Pelodiscus sinensis: one gene and its partner. The protein of the gene in region 1 purifies or fractionates together with the protein of each later gene. This does not show direct contact. Links are inferred from orthologs where the notes say so. Each region holds a gene or a part of one and is shown on either strand. Other genes may lie near its edges.

Region 1 (12,054 bases):
TTTTAAATGGTGACTTGATAGGGCCAATCTGATTTTCATGAATTAAAGACTAATAACATTTATTAGAGCCAGGCATTGTGCAGACAGCTGCTTCTGTGCAAACTTCCGCACACATTTGCCATAACACCACATGCATCCTTTAATAAAGATTTCATCTTGCCCTGAAAGATGTTAAATGTTGTAATACAGCAAAGCACTTATGCATGTTCTTCATTTTAAACATGTGGATAGCTCCCCATTGACTTCAAATCATACTACAGTGCTTGAAGTTAAGCAAGTGGTGCTTAAGTGTTATGCTGGATTGGGACCAGAATGTTCTGCTCTGTGCATTATCAAGCTCTAAATTAATAATTAAATCGGTTTTTCAAATAACTTGTTAATAATAGCCCCAAACAGAGGAGGGCTACGTCTACACTGGCATGATTTTCCGAAAATGCTTTTAACGGAAAAGTTTTCCGTTAAAAGCATTTTCGGAAAAGCACGTCTAGATTGGCAGGATGCTTTTCCGCAAAAGCACTTTTTGCGGAAAAGCATCCTTGGCCAATCTAGACACGGTTTTCCGCAAAAAAAAGCCCCGATCACCATTTTCGCGATCGGGGCTTTTTTGCGGAAAAGAAATCTCTGCTGTCTACACTGGCCCTTTTGCACAAAAGTCTTTCGGAAAAAGACTTTTGCCCGAACGGGAGCAGCATAGTTTTTCCCACAAAAGCACTGACAATCTTACATGAGATCGTCAGTGCTTTTGCGGACATTCAAGCGGCCAGTGTAGACAGCTGGCAAGTTTTTCCGCAAAAGTAGATGATTTTGCGGGAAAACTTGCCAGTCTAGACACATCCGGGAGGAAATGATCTATTAGAAACTGTGTATCTGCAATTTCTTGAGTCTGATACATTACATATTTTCTATAAACTGTGGGCTACCTTAGACAATCCCCAAACATGTACAAGAGTCTCATATTTACACTATTCATCTCTCTCTCAGGCTATTTCTACACTAGGTGATTCTTTTGAATTTACTAAGTTTAACTTCTGGCCACCCAATTTTACAAATTCGAAGTTGTGTGTCCTCACTATGGGGAAGAATCTAATGTAGTCTGAGGTAGCGTGTCCACATTAACAGAGCCTGCTTCAGACACAGAGCCCCGGGAAGCACTTTGGGGAACTGTGGGAGGCCTAATTAGTTTGAATTAGTGGCAACAGAGTGTCTGTACTTACATTATTTTGGACTTACAAGTTCAGGAATAGCATTATTCCTCGTGAAAAGCAAGACTACAAAAGTTGAATTCCATGGCCCCTTACTCCGGAATAACAAGCTTGATAGTGTGGACGCATCACTTAGAAAATCAACCTTGGGGGGCTAATTTCAGAGTAAGGTCATAGTGTAGACCAGGCCTTTATGATTGCCATAATAATCTCAATACTATCGACAGAATCTTATATCTTGTTTTCTGAACCTTCTCACAAAGGGTTCATTTCTGCACCATTGAAGTCAACAGAAGTTCCACCGCTTTTAGAATTCTCACAGACTGTGATTTATTTCTCTCACTAAAATCTTGTCCTGATTTCACGTATATTTCTTATAAAACTTGTTTCTCCATTGAAAGTCTTTTAAAGTTTAGACCAGTGATTCCCAACCTTTTTCCTATGGAAGAAGCCCTAAAATAATTTTTCATATCCCGGGGAACCCCTTTGAAAACGTTTGCTTGGCCAGAAAAAGTTGACAGTGGGGAGCGCAATTCAATTACTGCTAAATTATTGTCAAGAAAATTTATTTGTAAAGAGCTGTTATATATAATGTCAGCTTACATTGTAAGGAAAAAAATTATTTATTTATTCCACGATTTCTCGCGGAACCTCTGACAATGGTCTGTGGAACCCCAGGGTTCCACGGAACCCTGGTTGGGAAACACTGGTCTAGACATTAAAACCTTACTCCCAGTTTGGTAGGAAATTACATGTATTAATTGCATGACTTAGCTCTTTTACAAAACATTTTACTTGCAGGTATTTAGATTTCAGTAAATATTTACTTTGGCCTATTGTTTTAAGATTTTTACATGTCAATAGTTTATTTTCCTTAAGTAATTTTGCAGCTGGGTTAATTCATACTGTACTCTATCTTAAAAAACACCCAACTATCTGCTGACATTGACAGTAAAAATCCTGGATTGTCTTACCAAGGTTAAATAGACTGACAATTTTCTGGGTGTGATTACCACATCTCAAATTCTTACTTCTGTTTTTTAACAGCTGCTATAGCCACGGTTCAATGTCAATATAAAGGATTCACAATTCTTCAAATCTACAATCCTACTGCAAATTTGAAAACAGTAGTTCTGCTGGGAAGTTCTTAAAAGTTCACATTTGCAACCATAATTTAAGTGTGCTGTAGCAAATAATAGTTTATTTTATAGAAAGTGTATATCATGCTCATAAAATGTGCCAGCTGACAACTTGAGAAGTAAAGGCTTCTATTCACGAACCAGGTGAAACACAGTACTGCAAACTTCCCACACTGCCTCAGACCTGACCTACACAGAGGGACCTCTCTTAGGAAAGAGATTAGTAAATTTTTAGCCTCTCTGCTAATTACTGCCAATTATGATGGTAGTTTTGCAACATGGGAATAAGACTGAGACCATCCGACTCACTTAATATATAGCCTATAGAATAGGTATCAGATGGAAAAAGCTGACAGACAATGGTAACATAGATTGGGTTTGAACTGACAACCTAGGGAATCAAAGCTTCTATAGCTGATTACCCATCCCATTAGAGAGCCAACATCCATCTTTTTTTGTTTTGATCTTGTTCTGTGAAACACAAAAAGCACAGCTATAGGACTTATAATTTTTTATGAGGGGGGGAGTGGGAGGAAATTAGAGTGGCAGATGCTCGATAAAGGAATAAACAATTGCTGCTACCTTTTTCATTTTCATTCAGTAGGATTCAGGTGGATTATCTCCACCAACTAAAGATAAATATTTTAAATCTTTTTTATAAAATGATTCATTTTGCTTGCTCTTACAGTATGTACTAACATATATATAAAACAACTTTTGAACCTGACTGGGCAAAAAAGAATACTGAAATTCTTACTTTGATAAACGAAGACTATGCTACCTTTTGATCATATTAAAGGCGATTTATACATTCTCTTTTTGTACACCAGGCTAGAGACTATTGATATATGGTAATGGAATGTACTTTTTGCAATATATTGCATTGATTTACATAATAAAATTAATATATTTATTTCACAAAAATTAAGCTTTATATAACATATGATTTGAAAAAAATGACAATACAATCTTAAGTACAAATATATCCCTTAGGAACACTTTTAAATGTAGTGTAAATTACTATTTCAACCCCGACACATAGCCACACAGACAGTCTCATATGGAACTCACTCAGGATCCTAGTGCAAAGTTGAAACCTACATTACTATGTCGCATGCTGATGGGGAGATAAGAATTTGAAGAAATAATCAAAAGATGTAGAATATAAAGATTTAAGTAACTGGCATGAATTCTTACATAGAAAAAAAATCATGATCCTTTGACCCAGACCATCAACAACTCAACTCCTCACACAAATATGACATTGATGAACAGCATACTTTTCCTTCAACAAACATTTGTTCTTCATTCAGGACCTACTATAGTGTCTTGCTTGTCTCTCTGAAAGTAGGGAAATTTCTCCATAAAACTAGGAAATATGGGTTGATTTTATTCTCACTGAAGAAAATGGAAGTATACAATACTGTATACTATATGTACTGTCAGCAAAGTAAAAAGGAATAGCATTGACAAGAGAAGAGTATAGGTAGTTGCACTTTATCTTTCTGACAATCAAACCCAAGCCACTATATATAGTGTAAAAGATAACCATGTGTAAGTATATTTTTTTAAGGAAAATATCTGATTTTGTATGTTACACTTAACAAGAATATGTTTTTGCCAAATTAAGTTACTAAAATAATTTTATTTTCTGTAAACATTATAATAAGTTTATGCTAGAAATATTATTAGTTTTATATGTGAAAGCATAATTTATATACTCTGCGACTTTTTAAAATGCCAGAAAGCTAAATTAGTTTTTTAAATTTTACACTTTCTGCAGTATGAAGTAAAATGATAAACTATGAAAAAATATATCAATGTGTGCTTTGGAAAACAGTTGTTAAAGAAAACTTGAACCACGTAAAATGTTAGTTTAATGAAGTTGGCCTATAGAAATGTTACTATGCTTCCCAGTTTTACCTCATTCCTTGACATTGTCTGTTCTGGATGATCGTGTGAGAATAAAGGACAAAATAAAATAATGCCAAGATCCATAGTCACTATAGTATATGTATTGCTGTCATGAGAGGCTGTTCATGAAAACAATTCATTTTGAAGCTACTTTATTGTTAAACAGTATGTCTTAGCACTTCCTTCTCAGACATTTTACACTTTCACCGTGACCCAGGGCCATGATGATAGGAAACCATAAGAACATTGCTGCTCACATCTCAACTTAAATCTTACAAAGATTTTTTTCTTAAGGTACAAATTTAATTCAAGATCCAAGGTATTTTTTTCTTAGAAAATTTGGCTTTTCAGTTAGGTAGATTTTCTTCTTAACATTATTTTTTCTGATGATATGCATCCTGCTGCTTCAATCATGCTAACAGTGGTCCTTTACAAGACAAAGAGTAACTGGGTATTGCAATGCTTTATGCTTCCTGGTGTCCTACTCACCCACATTGCAGTTTTACAGTGCTCTATTTTTTTCTTAACATACTGTCAGTTCACCTAGAAAACAATTCTAGTTCACCAATCAGTAAGCCCAAAAACCACTGGAAATGTGTCAAAAGAAAAATAAGTATATTTTAAAATTAAAAGTATAATATTATATTTAGATACTGCATGTCCCTTTTTGAGATTCACACTTGCCAAGAAAAATAAAGGGCTGACATTTGGAAGTGAAGCTTTATTCCTACTACGGATCAAAGAAGCAAATATCAAACAATCATTGGGAATATAGGATCAGACTGCCATGCCTATGATATGCGGTGTTGTTGTAGCTATAATAGACCTTCCTTGTAATTACCCCTGCACCTTTCCGAAGGAGCTGCCATTATTTTGACAAATGTTTGTTGTTTCTTTCTGAAAACACTTCTGAGAGTGCGAATCACACTGCTGGCCCAGGGAGAGGCTGGCGGCTGGGAGCTCCTTAAGCCAAGGCGTTTTCCTGAGAGGAGGCTGCAGCGGGCGAGCGGGCAGCTCCCCCAGCACGAGGCTGAGCACAGGGGCTGATCTGCCCGAACCCGCTCGGCGCACGATTCGCCGCGACCTGCGCCCGGGGCTTCCCGTGACACATTCCGGGCCCTGCAGTACGTGTCGGTTTGTCCCCACGGACCCCCAATGTGGGCAGCGCCGCGCGCCCGGTCCGGCACGAGCCCTTCCCCTCCGCCCGGCCCCACTCACCACAGCTTCCTCTTCAGGGGCATCAGGCTGCCCCGGTTGGAGGCGGTCACCCCTATGGCCATCTGCAGCACCGTCAGGTATTTCTGGTACTTCATCGCGCCGCCCCCCCGCGGGCCCGCCGCCGGCAGAGCCTCTCCAGCCGCTGCATGCAACCAGCAAAGCGCTCTCCCCGGCATCTGCCGCCCTGCGCCGCCGCCCGCCGCGCTGCCTCTTCCCGCCTCCGCCCGCCGCCCGCCGCGCTCCCCAGCTCCCTCTGCTCTGCCGCGCCTCCCCGCGCTGCCCCCCCCGCCGGGGGTCACGCCCTGCCCGCTCACCTGGCCGTCTCGCCCGGCCGCCTCCCCTCGCACCCTGGGGCCTCCGACCCCCCCTCCCCTCGCACCCTGGGGCCTCCGACCCCCCCTCCCGCGGGGCACCCTGGGGCCACCCTGACCCCCTCCCCTCGCACCCTGGGGCCTCCGACCCCCTCCCGCGGGGCACCCTGGGGCCTCCGACCCCCTCCCCTCGCACCCTGGGGCCACCGACCCCCTCCCGCGGGGCACCCTGGGGCCTCCGACCCCCTCCCCTCGCACCCTGGGGCCTCCGACCCCCTCCCGCGGGGCACCCTGGGGCCACCCTGACCTCCTCCCCTCGCACCCTGGGGCCTCCAACCCCCCCTCCCGCTGGGCACCCTGGGGCCACCCTGACCCCCTCCCCTCGCACCCTGGGGCCTCCGACCCCCCATCTCGCTGGGCACCCTGGGGCCTCCAACCCCCCCCATCTCTCTGGGCACCTGCGAGTCTCTGACCCCCCATCTCTCTGGGCACCTGCGAGTCTCTGACCCCTCATCTCTGTGATGCCCCCATCCCTCTAGGCACTTGGGTGACTCTCTATGCCCCCCCCATTTCTCTAGGCACCTCTCTCTGGCCCCCCATCTTTAGACCTCTCAGGTCCTCCCTCCCCACATCGCTGGGCATTTGGGGCCTTTCTCTCAGCTCTACACCCTGCCCCTCACAGGGTTTCCAAGAGGGTGTCACTTTCCCATCCTCCATCACTGGGCCTCTGGGCTCTTCCTCTCCCCACCCACTGCTAGTAACTGGGGTCTGTCTCCTCCCTCCTTCCAGAGCAGTGTTATGCCATATCCTACGGACAGCTCAGTTACCCAGTGCCGCTTTGCTGCTGCCATGCTCCGAGCCTGGCGCTGCCCTCTGCCCTCTAGGTTTCTGTCCCCGCCTCTCTAATCTTATTAGCGTCTAGAATAGTCCCATATTATTGTAATCCCTACCCCCATCACTTGTGATTTAGCTATAATCAGGCTGTGGAGCCAAGCACCACATCAAATGCAAACTGGCTACTGCTCAGAGGCAATGCCCACTGTGCCCTGGGCATAGGAGCTGGGGAGCTTCCCAGAAGTAGAACCTTAAATCAAAACTATCTTCTGAACAGAGAGAAAGAAATGGACAAGAAAGAGGATTATTAAGATCACCTGCCCTACATTCACCTCTGCACCACAGAGATGTGGAATCCTATGCAAAGCCTAATGAATCAACAGCAGAAATAACAAAATATCATTCCTGATGCTCTCACATCCAGAGAAATGATAGAAATGACTGCAGATTTGAAAGACTTATGGCCATTAAATCAGACCTATAAATGTGATATATTCATTCCTAGACATCCACTCTCTGGGCACCTTAACAAAAATAGCTAAAACCAATCATGTATTGAATCTTACACTCAAAACATTACACTAATAATCTCTCTCTATGTAAAATAATTTTCCTGTGGGACGACAGAGTGATGTAATCATGTGCTGCAGCACGAGGGGGGCTGCTATCGGCCCTTCTACTGCACCCTGCTCCCCCAGACTCTGCAGTTAGAGTCTGGGTTCCCTTCAGCCCCTCCTCAGGGATGCCCTGGGCTCCCCACTGGCCCCTGGCTTCCCTATAGGAGAGTTAGGGGGTGGTGGCAGTAGCCACCTCTGGCCTCACTTCTACTTCCGGATCTGGGCCACTGCCTACCTGGCACTCCTGCCTCATGTGCCCCCCTCACAAGATTACAGAGCCAGCAGCACACGCGCTTCCCCACATGCCAGATCCAATGCAGAGTCTTGGATCTTTCTCTTCCTCTCCTGCCCTACAGGAAGCCAGTGCTAGCGCTATAATCCTGGGGGTGGGGGAGAGGGCAGCACGAGGCTGGAGCGCCAGGCAGGAAGCCGCCCAAGGCAGGCAATGGTTCACACAGAATCAGGGCCCCAGACCTGGAAGTAGAAGTGGAGCCAGAGGCAGCTTCCCCATTGGAGCAGCAGGGAAAGCCCCTGGTGCTTGGTGGCATGAAAAAAAGTAAGTGCCCCCTCATGCCCAGCCCCTGCAATCCCAGTGCCTCATGTACCCCCGGCCAGCTGTCTCACCTCCTTCCCCTGGCCAGACACTCTACCCCCGACTGCTCCTGCCTCCTCCCCCAGGCCAGACACTGCCCAGTCGGAGCCCAGCCCCCATCTGGCCATTGCTCCTGTCCCCAGCCCTGATCTTGGGGCAGACCCTGCAGTCCAGTCCCCATCTGGTCACAGGAAGGGCTGGTAGCAGCCCCCTTCCTGCTGCAGCACAGTAAGAGGATAGGCCACAATCCAGCTGCAGTGGATAGATGGGGAGATTGGTAAGTGTAGAGAGCAGGAGGCACAGCCCCCTAATGATTTCTTAAACTTATTTTGGGCCTTTCTCCCCAAAGTTCCTTAATATTTACATAGTGTGATAGATGTTCATGGCACACCATAGGTGACTATAAAACAAGTTCCTGACCTAAAAGGCTTTCATTCTAAAGACAGCGTAGAGAGATAATAGGGTAACATCGTATAATGCTATCTATGTACTTTATAGAACCACTGAGGTCAAACATCTCTGGGGCAGAGGCCAGCATGTAGCTGACGAACTGACCGATAGCATTGAGATTATTTTTGGCTACAGATATTAGAGTAAAATATGTTGAGGAATCTTTCATGTCCACACATAGAAAAGTCTTTAAACAAAATACTAGCAAAAAGGAGACAAAGTAGTTTGGGCTTTGGCACAAAAGATGCCACCAATGAGCTTGGCTGTGAATACTGGGAAATAGTATCCCAGGCTCACAAGAGGCATGTCTACACTAGGAAATAATTTTGAAATAAGTAACATAGAAATAATAACTCCCAAAACAACAAAATCGAAATAGTGCGTCCCCACTACAGGGAGCATCGAAATTACTCAGAATGATTTCGAAATAGCGCATTGACACTGATTGGAGCCCGCCTTGGACTTAGAGCCCCTGGAAGCACTCCTGGGAAGGCATGTGTGGCTGCTTGGTCAGGCAAGCTGTGGTAGATGCTATCAGGACCTCCTCTCCATGGCTGCATCTCACACGCCACTCCTCCACAGGACACAAAACGGATGCCGTGTCCTCTGGTTGCCCTGGTGGACACCACAGCACTTCCAACATGGAGTCAGAGCTGCTGCAAAGCAGTGCTAGGCTCACGGGCCTTGTGCTGCACCGCATGGTGCAGTTCATCCAGACTGCCCACTTGCTGCTCCAGCAGGATGACTACCAGTCCGGACCAGAGGCCCTCATCACCCAGGTCCTGGCACTCCTATTGCTGCAAATGATCCTCAATCCCCTGGACACCATTGAATGATGCTTCTGATGGAGGGAGACCAGTTCAGTCTCATGGGACTGCATCATCCTGCAGCAATGGGATGACAAGCAGTGGCTCCAGAACTCCACACATGTGGAAGGCCACCTTCCTGGAGCACTGCAAATGGCTTGCCCCTGCCCTCAGGCAACAGCATCCTGGGCAACGCAGCCTTCCCCTTGCTCCCCTGACTTATGAAGCCCTACACAGGCAGCCTGGGACCCACCAAGATGACTCTGCCAGGCTGAGGAGGTGCTGCATAGTTGTGGAGTGTGTGTTTAGCCATTTAAAGGGGAGGTTCTGGAGTCTCCTCACCCGTCTGGAACTCAGAAAGCATAACATCCCCTTTGTGGTGGTGGCCTGCTGTGTGCCCACTACCTCTGTGAGAGCAAAGGGGAGACTTTGCTGCCAGGTTGGGGGCAGAGGCTGCACGGATGGCCGGGGCATACAAGCAGCTGGACACCAGAGCCATTTGACAAGCACATAAAGGGGCTTTGCTCATCAGGGAGGCCTTGAGGGAGAGTTTCAGCCAAGGTCAGCTGTGAGACTATCCCTTGTGCCTGTCCACACAGGACCCCTTACGTTGCCTCTCTGTGCTTTTCCTCCCGGACCCCCACCCCTTCCCACCTCCCCTGCCCCTGCAGAGCAAATAAAAAAGCCTTTAAAAAAAAACCAAGACTGTTTATTTGGGGGATATAAAACAGGGGAGGAACTGGGGGAAAGAATCTGGAATGCAGGAGGGGGAGGCGATCTCAGGGATGGGGCCTGGACTGACTGGGTAGCTTGGGAGGCTTTGTGTGCCTTAGAGGTCCCACTGCCCCGTGTTCTGGGACCCTGGTGGCTCCTGGGGGGGAGCTAGGAGGGAAAGGCAAGGGGAGATGGTTGGTGGCCTGCTCCATGCACAAGGCCATGTGCTCCATCAATGCAGTGAGGGAGGAGCACATGGCCTCCTGCTGGTGTGCCAGCTGGTTCCAGGGAGCCTTCCACTGCTCCTGGTCAGTAGCCTGCTCCTGGCACTCCTCTTCAAGCCCCTGGATGAGGGGCTCGAGGCAGGCCATCTGCTACCTCATTAGATCTTCCTGAGTATGTTTCCTCCTGCAGATCCCGGCGGGAGTCGGGAAGATGGCATGGGAGGTGGTGCACACATCACACTCACAGCTGGCTCAGCTGTGAAGAAAAGTTACAAGGGCAGTCATCCCAGGAGACCCTGTATATGAAGCCTAGCCCTAATCGCTGAGCTGACACTGAAGTTCTTGGTTCAGACAATAGCGATTTGCTTCGAGCAAGGCTATATGTTGTCTTGACAACAGGCACTTTCCTGCAGGGGGACGGATGTCCCAGGGGAGCATTGCTACACCCACAGCCTGGGGACAAGCAAGCATGGGAAGGTGCTGGCCAGGCCAGGAGCCTGCGGGTGGCAGGAGGAGACAGGGCAGCTCGGCTTCCTTCCATGTCCTGCACACACCGGGTCCAGCACTGGCGGCATCTCACAGAGAGAGAACTTCTATCCCTGCTCGCTAGAGGAGGATGGAGTTTGTGAGAGGTGTGTGCGAGTGGCAGAGGCTGCTTGCTGGGAGAATGCTACTGGGGTCCCCTCCACTTCCTCCCTCCCGACAGGTTACCATGCAGGGAATCGTGGCTGTGCTGACAGCACAGTACAGTACACGGGGGGGGTATGAAGGATGTGATCGCATCAACCCTTCCCCACCCATGGTCCTCCAAGTAAGCATGAGGCTGGGGCAGTACATTGCCCCAGCATCCCTCCCCAATGCTCTGGCTGGCTGGAGGAAAGCAGAAGCGGCGCAGTGCCCCAACCTCCCTCCCCTACGCGCTAGATGCTGGGAGAAGGCTGGGGCTGATTTGTCTCCCCCACCCGCCACCAAGAGTGGGGATGGGGACTGGGATGGGGATGGGCCTGGGTTGCAGGGGTGGGGCAGCCACCAGCGCCTCCCATGACTCAACCCCCCCCCCACACAGAAATTCCTGAATACAGGCCTGCTATTGTGTATGTGTATGATTGCTATCTAAAGAACAGAATATCAGACCTACTCAATTAGGCACCATAAACCTTAAGAGAAATAGAAGATGTGGTTAAGATCAGAAAAGTGACTGAAAAATGCCACTTTCTTGTTCAATTGACCTACTCCCTGTGTACATGCAGAATGGTCTCTGTTTACTTTAATGACTTTAAATGACTCTAATGTTTTTACTCATGTTAACCCCTGAGCCCACACAAGGCTATGAGAGAGCAGAAGCTGAATTTTATTCAGACCTATCATCAACAGAATTTTTTAGCTAAATTACATTTACCATACTCTGTTTTGCCCTTAATTACAGTTGTACAATTCCATTAAGACAATCATTTACATCTGTCCAATGCTAGCCAATCCTTATTACTGATGAAGCTACATAAAGCATTTTTGGCTTCATTTTCAAATTCCAAATTGAATATACAACTCTGGCAACTAGAAATATATAGTTATATATATATAATTTCTCGATATGAAATTATTGCCATGATAAACGAAGAGACCAATAATGACGTTTTTACAGTAATATTTGAGACTCTAAACTCGCTTTATCAGCCAGTGCAGGATAGACATGGATCTATTTCTAGTATTTGTGTTCACATACATTATAATGCCCTTTTAAGTTATGACTTCACCTTTATTTTTTATTTGTTGAGATGGAATAAAAAGATCAACCTAGTTGGAGGTAAATAATTTGAGACGGGTTATGTTTTCCTATGTATTATACAAAGACCAAGCACAATGGGCCCACAAATGCATAACAGCATCCTTACTGTTATGATATAAATGCACAATAATAAATATAAAAATAACTTCAGATTTTTCATTCTAAGTCAAAACATGTCTCTCTGCTGCCCTGACTCTTGAAGACTCCCAAATCTGAAATTGCAGGGATGTGATAAACACAAAGCCTG
Region 2 (11,707 bases), on another chromosome or scaffold:
AGCTTTTAAACAGCACCAGCTACTGCTTCTCCACCTCCCTTTGTGCCTCTCATACAGAGGCAGGAGAAGAGAAGAAATGTGAGTAGTCAACTAGATTAAACTATAAGCTTAGGCTTATTGTTCACATCCCTCCAATAGAGTTCTCCCAACCTCAGATAATTTCAAACTGACAGAAGTCAACTTTGAGAAAATTTTAAACAAAACAGAATACCTCCCACACATGTTAAGGCCTCTGCACAGTATGAAAGGAGAGTCCCCAATTCTGCCCAAATGCAGGTCACTTTGAAAGGGAGCACCATCTCATAACCCCTCCCAGATGCCACATGCAGTTTTCATTTCAGCACATTCTGGGGCCTTAACCAGAGAACACTCGGCTAAAGACTAAGGAAAATTGTGTTGGCTATTTAGGAAATGAGACCAGAAGTCTACTAAACTTACTGTTTGAAACAATATAGTTAACGGAAGCATTCTACAAAGAGGTCTGTAGTGCACAAATGCAGCGCTTGTATTTATCTTAGATAATAAAAAGTCTCTTTTAACCATCAAATGAAGGTTTTGAAATTTAATATTTTATGACGTTCCAATAGCCCAACATATTAGAACTGCAATAACTATAATACATTTAATAATTTTTTAAATTTTATCACCACAAAGTCATATTGGTCACCTAGAAGTGGTTATGGCTTATTATAGTGACTTTTTTCTTGCACAGGTGCTATCAGTGCATATAAATTTGATACAAGAGACTAGGTTAAAATACATGGACAAAGAAATGAGATTTACTTTCACATGTAAATATATTCAGAGTAATTTGCTCCTTTTACTGTGATAGAGCAAGGATGACATGGGGCAATGGAAAAAAAAAAAAGATGGCATGCTAACAAATCATCTCTAGTTAAAAAGGATTTAATTTTGGTCTCCTATATTGCAGCTTATATTAATTTTAATTGCACCCATGCTCATGGTAATTTACTATATTCCTGGAAGCTTATAAAAGTTCTTCAGGCTCTTAATTTGTGGGAGAGCAGTAGTTAAAGAATTCATTTGTTTAATGAGCAGAAAAAGTTTAGCTAGATGAGCTATGGATTTTGTACACCAACTGTTTTATACGCAGACATGTTAGGTGTACAATTTAAAGGAAGAAAATAGGCATTAATGTATACATACCTCTTGAGGCTCTACCACACAGTAGTGATACAAGTATTGATTCATAAAGATTCCTGTATTTGTAGTTGTATAATACTGACTGCACAGAGCAACAAGTTGATTGTAGAACACTGATCCTGAAGCTTGTGCAGTTGGGTTTACTGCCAGTACATATACAATGGATGCAATGAATACCAAGAAACCAAGGATAGCACTTATTATTATGACAATTAGATAATATCTTCTTGTTCTGGATGTGCTTGAGTTGGTGACACTTGTTACAAAAATTGCCATTCCAGCAATGAAGCAAAAAGCTGTCATTGCAAGTATGAAGCCTTTAGCAGCTCGGGGCTCAATGTAATTTCCTCCAATACCATAGGCTCCACCATATCCATAACCGTAGCCATAACTGTTACTGCCTCCAAAACCTCCATATGAAGGATATCCAACACCAGATCCCATTGATGAACCTCCATAGAATTCTAAATCCCAAGGCAATGTGGAAGCCACACAAGCAAAAATGCCCACACACATCACTATAATGAGAACTGACATGATCTTTATTATTCCTGGAGGGGAAGTCCATTTGTAGAAGTGTTGCACTTCATCTTCTGGATAGTAGGAGTATGCTGGTTGAGAGTACATGGGCTGAGAACGCATGTCCTCAACATACGTAATGTTGCTTGGTACATAGTGAGAAGGTTTGCTGCAATAAAAAGAAAAAATTATCAACTTAAGTTTTCAGCAGTTGTGAAAAACTGTTAAAAAAACTGTAGTGCACAACACATGAAGTTAGATTAATTCAGGAAGTGGTCAGATTTAGACAGTTTTTAAAGAGTCCTATATTTTTCAATGGAATGCATATATTCCTCCAAAAAGACATTTTATTTTCTCATGCGCTTTTATGATAGTTGTTCACAAATAATATTAGAGGGTTGAAATTAATCCACTCTGACCACTGGCATTTAAAGATTACTGGAATGTGTGCTCTGGAGAACTCAGAGAATGTTTAAGAGTGATAATTTGCAGTATTTATCATACCAAACAGTAGGGCCATTTGTAAAGCTATTTAGAAGGAAGGGCACTCAACTTTATAATGCCTATCTGATTTAGGAGCCTAAATCTCATTTTTAAAAGGAATGTAGGCACTAAGGAGTTTCAACCCCGTTGATAGACAGGTATTGCAACACTGAGTGCAGCAATCACTAATTAATTGTGGGTCTGGCCCACGAAAGCTCATCTAATAAACCATCTTGTTAGTCTTTAAAGTGCTACATTGTTCTGCATTTTGCTTCAGCTACCCCAGACTAACACGGCTACATTTCTATCACTAATTAACTGTTGTTTGATTAGTTTACACATGGAAGAGACAAAAAGCATCCTGTAAAGTGGTAAACAAGCTATTAGAACACACTATATGTGCTGGACAGACATTTCCTTTTTTGTTAAATACGTAGCCAGATATAGGCTAACAGCAGCAACTTGAAGACAGTTGACACAGTTACTGTTAACAATTGTATAAATAAGCTGTTAAAGATATGAATTTCAACTATGTACACTTGCTTATCTGGAGTTATTTAAAGTAGTAACCAAAGAAGAAAAGAGAATATTTACAATTCATCTGGTCGATAAGGTGGAGGACTTTCAAAAGGTCTGGATGACATAGTTGAAGTACTGGTTCTCTAAACTGAGACTTATTTTTGGTACCTAGGAAAAAAAAGTGACAATTACAAAACAATCTAAACAGCTTATTGACATTATAGTTAGTATGATCGCCTTATACTATACAGATGGCTGTTCAATTACTAAAAACAGAAAGTCAAATCCACAAAAAAAAATTTTTTCAAGGACTTCCAATAAATAGAGCTTTCCACTCCAAGGTACACAAACAGTTCCTAAAATATACAAAGACTCCCCTTCATCATACAGTGCTTTAACACAGTAGTTGATCTTAACTATGATTTTTCCCCAAAATATCTTGAAATATGTAACATCTTAAGCTAGATCTCAAGTAGGAACACCAATCAAGAATTCTTCATGATCACCTACCATTTTCTTCTTTTTTGAAGGGGGCATTAGTTTTGCCCTTACCCAATTTGTTAAAATATTGACCTAAAATAGCACAAGATTTCAGATGACCATTGCTCTAGAAGATGATGCTAGATCAATGCTCTGGATTTGATTACCTCTAGAGGTTCCTTCCAGTTCTATGACTGATTAAGTCCAGCAAAAGAAAAGAGCAACTAGCAACTTGTTATTGATGCATTTAAGAGAGTGGCAATTTTATCTCTCCTCCACCCGAAAGGACAGCAAGTACAATGTTTTTGAAGGTAGAGGTTCTTGGTTTTAGAGTCAATCAATCTGTGGATTGTTCCAAGAGCTCTATTTTAAGTTATCCTTTTAAAACTATAGTTTGAAACAATGGTTTCAGTCCCTGAAGTGGGTATCTCCATTAATTGCTGGAGTAAGAAGAGCCTTTCAGTTAAACATCAGCAAAACATTTCATAAACGTAGTTATGGTGAAAACAGATATTTCAACCAAAATGTAATTTGTTTCAGAGCAGCCTTGAGGTGATACTACAGTGAGAAAAAGGAAAGAGCACAAGACATTAGCTGCAAAATAATGCAGAGTTTCTTTGAGAGGCAAAGAAGAATTTAATGTACCTGTTCCTGTGCATACCAAAAATCTCTCTACTGAGAAGAAAGCTTTCATAACAGACTGAATGCCCTGGTAGATTTGACATTCTTGAGGAAAAAGAAAATATATCTTAAGGAAGCAACTTGTTAAAAAAGGTTCATCTTTGAACCGACCATTCAAGAAGGACTTACTGACTTCTTTGAAACGATCTGGCATTTACAACTTTTGTGGAAACTACATATTAAAATCGTATAATAGATTTCTGCCTCCTTACCTTACTCTTTTTGGAGGAACTTGCACATCAGAGAACAATAACTGAGACGAAACCCTTATTACAGTGCACAGCCCTAGAACCAAGAGGCAGGCTAAGGTACAAAAGATGTAACTGAAGAATCATCCCTGGTGTCACAGGGACAACGCCCAACTAATACAGAACTGAGTTTAAATATGCAACTGAGCGTTTAAAGAAATAAGATCTACGTATGATCTGGCTATAATAATGAGCAATGCACAGTAGTACCCTAGAGACGAGAAGTATCAGCTTTTTTTTTCTTATTTCGATATTTCCAATCACAAGCCGTAAGTATAAACATTTGGGAAAACTTTTAAGAATAAGCCAGAAGCCCTTACACTTGGGCATGGATGCGGTTGGGAGAAAGGGACGACCCCTCCCCCCGACCCTACACAAAGCAAACACACCAGTCACCAGACACACTCTACTCTTGCCCCCATCGCACCTGGATGTCCCGTTCCGAGATTTGTAAACCGCTTCGGTCCAAGAGTTCATTTACCTTAACGCCAGCAGCGCACGCACCCGCTTACGCTCGCCTGATTCCCAGCTTCCCTGCTCTTTAATCTCTCTGGAAGCAGCCGCTGCTGTAAGCCCTCTCCTCCCCCCCGGTACCAGCCGCACCCCGCCGCGGTGCATGCGCCCTGCCCGCACACCTAGGGCTCGAGGACAGGCGCACTCACCCCCCCCGCCCAGCAGCTCCCGCCTGGAATGCGGGGTGGGAGCCGCCCGCTTCGGCCGCACTGATTGGCTGCTCCCCTCCCCTCTGCCAGTGGCGCGTGACCCCTTCAACTGAAACTCGGCAGCCCCAGCACCAGGCAGCGAACAGGTTGATCCTGCAGCGAGCGCGCGGAGGGGGCCGAGAACCAGTTTCGAGTGAGGATGGACTCAGCTCTGAGAGTCTAGTGCAAACAAAGGGCGGGCTGGGGGCGTGCCCGAGAACCTCCCAGCCGCGGGCGAGTCGCTCCCCGCCCTTCAGTGGTGCCAGCACACACTCAACTCACTCTCCCCCTCTGCTGCCCGGCACCGCTCCCCAGATCTGGAGGGAGGGGGGTCGCAGCTCCTAGCCCAGCAATCCCCTTTGGAATTGTTTGCAAAGTGTCTCTTGGACTGTAGACATAACGCACGAATGGGGAAGAGGGGTTAGCGCCCGGAAAAAAGGCACCTTTTAAAATGATGGCTAGAAGTAGGCTGGTTCAAATTCGGGGAGAGCAAAGCCAATGCCACCCTTTTAAAGCAGTAGTACTGGAAGTGGCTCGGGGCTGTTTCTATGCACCTCTCCCATTGCATGCACCTAAAGGAAATAGAAAGAATAGTGTCACAATATATTAACAGGCATTTTATAGATATAGCTAAAGATTGAATTTAAAGCAGAAGGGTTAGACAGGTACAACACCTATTCATGGAGCCACTAGTATAGACAGTACACTTTTTTAGCTTAATTGCTAAACACTGAGTAAGAAAGCTAAAAAAAATAGCTACATAAACTTTGACTGTGGTCAAAGGTGTAAAAGGTTCACTTTCCTCAGCACTACCCTGTAGCTATGAGGGTCACACCCCCACTCCAAAGGCAGCGAGGTTGAGGAAAGATTTTTGCCACTGACTATTTGGGCATGTGAAGTTCCTAGACCAGTGATACTCAGACTGAGGCTCCCAAACCACAAGTGGCTCTTTATTTCACTTCTTGTAACTCTGCAGCACAAGATATTAAAACACTATGGTTAATAATTTTAATTTAAAAACCAGGAAACATTTACTATGCTTTTAACCAAATATAAATTTGCTCTGAGTTAACTAATCTGTTGTTTATTTATACTATATATAGTACTATAGTAAATACAAAAATGAATTCACACTACTGTGGCTCTTTTGGGTAATGAAGGTTTATAATTTGGCTCCTGAACCACTGAGGTCTGAATATCACTATCCTTAGAGCAACAGAAAGACCACTTTGGGTATTGGTTAAACTGAATAGCAGTTTTGCTATACCATCTTAGCACCCACACTGTAAACATGACTTAAGAGTGTCCATATACATAACTTTCCCCTGTAACCAAGGCTCAAACTAAAATACATTTTAATTGCAAGCAAAATAAAATTAAATGGAGACAGTGCTTCATCTTCCTTGGATGCTGTACTTACTTCCTGCAGGGAGAGTCCTGTACTTGAAGATTAATCAACTGTGGAGATGGACATTTAAGTGTCACATTGATATCCCTAGAACAGTGGTCTCCAACCTTTGTAAGCATGAGATCACTTTTTTAATTTAAGTGCAATCCAGGATCTACCCCAAACCAAAACATGCTTGCCCTGCCTCCTTCCCACCCCTTTTCCATGGCCCCACCCCTGCTCACTCCATCCTTTCACTCTCCCCCATCCCCACTCACTTTTATCAGACTGGGGGCAGAAGGCTGGGGTGCGGGATAGAGGAATACAGACTCTGACCTTGAGCTAAAAGATCTGGAGTGTGGGAGGGATTCTGAGCTGAGGTAGTTGAGCAGCAGGGGGGTTCAGGCTCTGGGAGGCAAGGGGACTATGAGCTAGGGTAGAGATTTGGGGTGCAGGAGAGGTTCAGAACTGGGGCTGGCGTTTGGATGTGGGCTCCAGCTGGGCACCGCTTACAACAGATGGCTTCTTGGTGGTGATGCAGGGGACTAAGGCAGGCTTACCCCTGCTCCCAAAAGCAGCCAGCAAACTCTCTTCATCCCTGCCCTCCCCTCTCCCCCAACTATGTGGAGATGGGGTACAGAGTGGGGGGAAGGACACCCTAACTTCAGCACCCCGTCCTCTTCTTGTTCCCTGCACAGCAAGCAAGAAACTCCCAGGGGTGGGGCACAGCTCCAAAGCAGAGGGCAGGAGCAGCACGGTAGTGCTGAGAGGGGCAGATGAAGTGACAGCATTTGATAGCCTCCTCGCCACACCTGTCAGGATCACCTGTCAAAGGCTCCAAGATCTACCAGTAGATCCTGATCTACTGGTTGGTGACCACTGCCCCAGAACTAACTGATCCCAGAGGCAACTAAATGAGAAAGGCCCCTTGCTACTGTTACAAAAATTCATATAAAAAGGGAATGAAACAAAAGAAAGGACTATGCAGCATTTTAAAGACTAACAAGATGATTTATTAGGTGATGAGCTTTCATGGGCCAGACCCACTTCCTCAGATCAAATTCTGGAAGAGAATTGGCACGACCATATATACCAAAGGAATACAATGAAAAAAAAAGTGAACACATTATAAAACTGACAAATCAGATTTAGAACAGAAGGGGAGCGAGGTGGAGGACTAGTATCCATGAGATAATGATACTAGGGGTGATAAAAATCTATTCTAAATCTGATTTGTCAGTTTTTCTATCATAAGAGCATAACCAAAGGAGGAATAAGTTTCCACACAGGATATGGGCAATATGCCTTACTTGTATTCACATACCTACAAAAATTGCCTCTTGGAACTAGAAAATAATCCGTTTCTATGTCCACTCAATGCACATTAGTAATGACATTAATTTTGAAGCCTAGTCTTATGAAGTGAATAGAATGTTTGGAGATTAGACAAATCTAATTGCTTGAATTAGTCAGGGGTTGATTTCTTTGCTCTGTAAAGTCACCCATCTTTATTATTTATTCCACATGTTTGTATGTTGATATAGCAACAGCAACTTGATCAAGGCATATCCTGGTAATTAATATTGCATAATCAGCATCATAGAGAAGAAAGATTAGACAAGTGTTTTCAGTGAACTTATATTCAAAGTAGACAAAACAGAAAACAAAATAGTACACTTGGCGATTAGAGGACAGATATCTCTGAATGGAATTTTTGTTCCTATATAGATAGCACTTCTAACATTAGGAGTGGATTACAAATAAACAGTATCTAGAAGTCGAGCCTTTTGTCTCTAGGATTTTAATTATACCCTATACAGCTGAAATTGCAAGTGGAATGTAGGTGGGCAGAATAGTTACTTAGATAACCTATCAGAATGTAAGTATCCAAACTGCTATGATTTCTTAGAAAATCATCACAAATTTATCAATGATCAAAATAATTTTATGTTTTGTCTTAAGAACAGTATCTGCTATGGCATAATGTCCCTATCACAGGGCTGGGCAAAATACGGCCCAGGGAGCCGGATCTGGCCTGCCAAGCCACAGGCTGCAGCCCATAGACGGCCCTGACTGGACCCTCAGGCAGACACAGCTGCCGACTTAAACACAGTCCCTGCATTTCTCTGCTCTGCAGGGAGGTGGAGGCTTCTGTGAGATCACCCCACTCCCAGCCCAATCCTCAGGTCCTATTGGCCAGAAAGAACCAGCCAATAAGAACTGACCTCAGCTAATCTCTCAGCTCCGATTGGCTGGAAACAGCCAGTCAATCGGAGCTGAGAGATTGGCCTGAGAGACTGGGGCAGCCCGATATGAGAACCAGGTGGAGGGAGCAGCCTGTATTTTCAAACAGATTGGGGTGTAGGCCAAGAGGCACTTAGGTAAACTCCTCTCAGCTAGTGCCTACTTCTGGCACCCCCAACCCATCCTGCACCCCAACTTCCTCCCCCAGATCACCATCCAAACCCTCTGCTCTCTCTGTTCCAGGTGACAACTCCCTCCCAGACCCTGTACCTCCTCCTACACCTCTCCCCCAGGCCAGAATCCAATCCTGCACCCACACCCCCTCCTTGACCCTACACCCCAATCCCTTGACCCAGGTTACAACCCCCTCTTTCACCCATACACCCGCTGAGCCCTCACACCGTCTCCTGAACCCCAGTCCCTTACCCTGTGCACCCAACCTTCACCCTAGACCCTCCACAGAAAAGTGCAGACCTTGACCATTAACCAAAATCTTGGCATGGCCCCTACCAAAAATTTTTATATTCCCTGATCTACGGACTATAAAACTAAGCGTTATTTAACAAGGACACACTCTAAAGTGAATTAAACAACAAAGACAGGAACTAAAAGTGGCCTCTCCTCTCACTGCGAGTAAACCTTAACATTGTAGTTGGTGAGCACACTGCCCTTTTGAAAAATCAGGCCAAAAATATGGATTTAGCAGCTTAGATTTAATTCCTGTTTTTGAAAATCTTGGCCCTCTGATACAATCAGAGGGATGATCCTACAAATGACAAGGAGTAGGCAGAGCCCTATTTGCTGCTGTGGGTGGCAGAAGAGTACATCCACATACTTTTACTTGCAGGATCAAGGCTTAAGTATACATTTTTACAAAGAGTTGCAAGAGCAGCATGTTTGATTTCCTTGATTTCTCACCTCTCTTTTCAGTAGTGTACCTTCTAGTTGTTCAGCCAAAAACTAAATAATCAGGCCTAATTTTATTCATAGATAAGAAATAGTTATGATCACAGAAAAATATTCAACTATCAGACCCTACTTTATAAATTAGTTTCCTCAAAATGAATGTTCTTTTGTCTAACACTATGAACACATATTTCCTGTTTAAAATTCAGAACCTACTCTCATATGACTCAAAATAGAGCTTTGCGGAGCAGATTATACAGTACTGCACAAAGCATAAAAGCGACCTCTCCCACTTCTATTATGGGTTTTCTTAAGTATCAGCCTATGCCAGTATTTACGCACTAGCTCAAAGTATAAAATCTGCTAGACCATAGACATATAAGTAGTGTAAAAATAAAACCATTCTTTCAATTATATTAATGTAGTCATTCAGACTTTAATTCTTCACATTTATGTATATCTAAAGTAGTTCAGAGAGCTCTGACAACTTTACAACTTTTAATTAGTAAGTGGTATATTGTAATACTTTTCAGGTCTATTCTGAATACTAAAAGGATTATAACTCTGCAAAGACTCACATACGTGATTAACTTTCTGCATGAATAGTTCCATTGACTTCAGTGAGACTATTCACGTATGGAAAGTCAAGTTTGAGTCTTTGCAGGATCAGGTCTTTAATAGTGCATTTAGGTTTAGGAACACAGTGGAGAATGAGCTTAGCAAATAAGCTATAGTGCACAATAGTCAAGGGGCTCATTCATGAGAACTAGCTCAAGATGGGCAAACAATCCATCTCAGCTTTACAAAAGATTACCTCAGGGCTGGGCTAAAGAGCATGCAAATTCTCTGGGATTTTATGCAGACTTCACAAGTCACAGCTGCGCTAATTACTCTCCCCTGGCAGCAACAAGGAGAGAGAAATTCTTCTACCATCTTCTACCTTTTTTGTCAGGGGACCTAGAGAAGTAGCTAACTCAAAGTCTGACTTCCATCAGCCAAATTTGGGCCATTTCCAATTATATTTATAGCCATGTAATTAAGGTGTTAGAGAAAATGGTATTGATGACAAATGACATACTCAGTCAACAGTGAACCAACAATATTGCTAGGGAAGCATTGTGGTGCTAGAGATGTTTTACAAAAGTTAGTCAAAACCATTACACTGACACAACTAATATTGAACATCCCAAGAGACTATTTAATTAAACTTTTAAAACAAGAGTAGGAGTTTCAAGGAGTAGCCAAGTTAGTCTGTACAGAAAAAACAACAACAAATGGTCTGATAGCACTTTATAGACTAACAAAACATGTAGATGGTATCATGAGCTTTCGTGGGCAGAGCTCACTTCTCAGATGACCGGAGTTTTGAGTTTAGGACTCAAAGTAAGTCCAGACACTATAAGAGCTACTGCAACCAAATTTTGCATGGTATTACCTTTCCTCCAGAAGAAGGTTTTAAGGTACTGTGGGAGGGTATGACGGGGGCCCCACTCTCTCCTCCCCCACCCGCATTAGGTTTGCCAGTGGCAATGCGCTCCCAGGCCACCACTATTCTGGGCCTGTGGCGCTTGCGCAGGGCGGCGGGTTGAGGACCGCCCTCATAGCGCAGGTGCACCTCAGCTGGCATGCAAACCAGCAGGCAGGTGGACCGGGGCGGGGGGGCAGGGATGCTGGCATGGAAAACGGCGCTGACACTGGCACCAGGCCAGACACAAGGGGAAGGGAGAGAGATGGAGGAAAGGGAAGTAGGAATAAGGGATCTTCCAGAAAAGGGCTTATTTTCTGGAGAATCGCATCTAGACTGGCGCTTTTCTCCGGCAAAAACCCCAAGCCAGAAAAAAGCGGCAGCCATGTAAATGCAAATGCCGCGGGGGATATTTAAATCCCCCGCGGATTTGCAATTCCGAAGTGTCTCGTTACCATCCCTTTTCCGGAAAGGGATGCCAATGTAGACACAGCCTTGATGTGTTACATTGCTGTGAAGCCAGCCAGCTGCTGTTCATACCGTGAGTGGGACTCTTCTGTGTCTGGTTCCAGCCATCAGGGTTAGACGTGAGCTCTGAGCTTTTGCTTGCCAAGGCAGGGCAGGTGGATCCCTGAGCCATCCTTGCAAAGAGAAGTCCCCTTGCTACTGGCTACATGACTGGGTACTGTTCTCGTAGGGGCTGGCTGCTTGGTCGTGGAGGGAGGAGGGTCCTTCTGCTCTCAGAGGGTCAGGTATGGGCCAGGAGCCCCCAGGGTCTGTGGCTCAGGGTCCCCTCCTTTCCTAAATTTTCTAAATTTTATTCCTCCGGTTTCCCGAGCAACGCCGGGTAAGTCCAGCTAGTTACCCATAGTCCACAACTTAGACCCCTCCAGTACATTATACACAATCT

The links.
Region 2: the proteins of TJP1 (region 1) and OCLN purify together in Homo sapiens (affinity purification with western blotting; 4 studies listed by BioGRID and IntAct, with this or other methods). This does not show direct contact. The link is inferred for Pelodiscus sinensis from reciprocal best matches to the Homo sapiens genes TJP1 and OCLN.

The regions. Positions count from the first base shown.
Region 1 is NC_134724.1:44,960,684-44,972,737, forward strand, and holds the start of TJP1 (tight junction protein 1), read right to left. Parts: upstream 5,618-12,054; 5' UTR 5,569-5,617; coding exon 5,474-5,568; intron 1-5,473. UniProt on the Homo sapiens protein: TJP1, TJP2, and TJP3 are closely related scaffolding proteins that link tight junction (TJ) transmembrane proteins such as claudins, junctional adhesion molecules, and occludin to the actin cytoskeleton.
Region 2 is NC_134716.1:81,588,646-81,600,352, reverse strand, and holds the start of OCLN (occludin), read right to left. Parts: upstream 4,947-11,707; 5' UTR 4,522-4,946; intron 4,209-4,521; exon of another isoform or gene 4,059-4,208; intron 2,854-4,058; 5' UTR 2,811-2,853; coding exon 2,761-2,810; intron 1,853-2,760; coding exon 1,168-1,852; intron 1-1,167. UniProt on the Homo sapiens protein: May play a role in the formation and regulation of the tight junction (TJ) paracellular permeability barrier.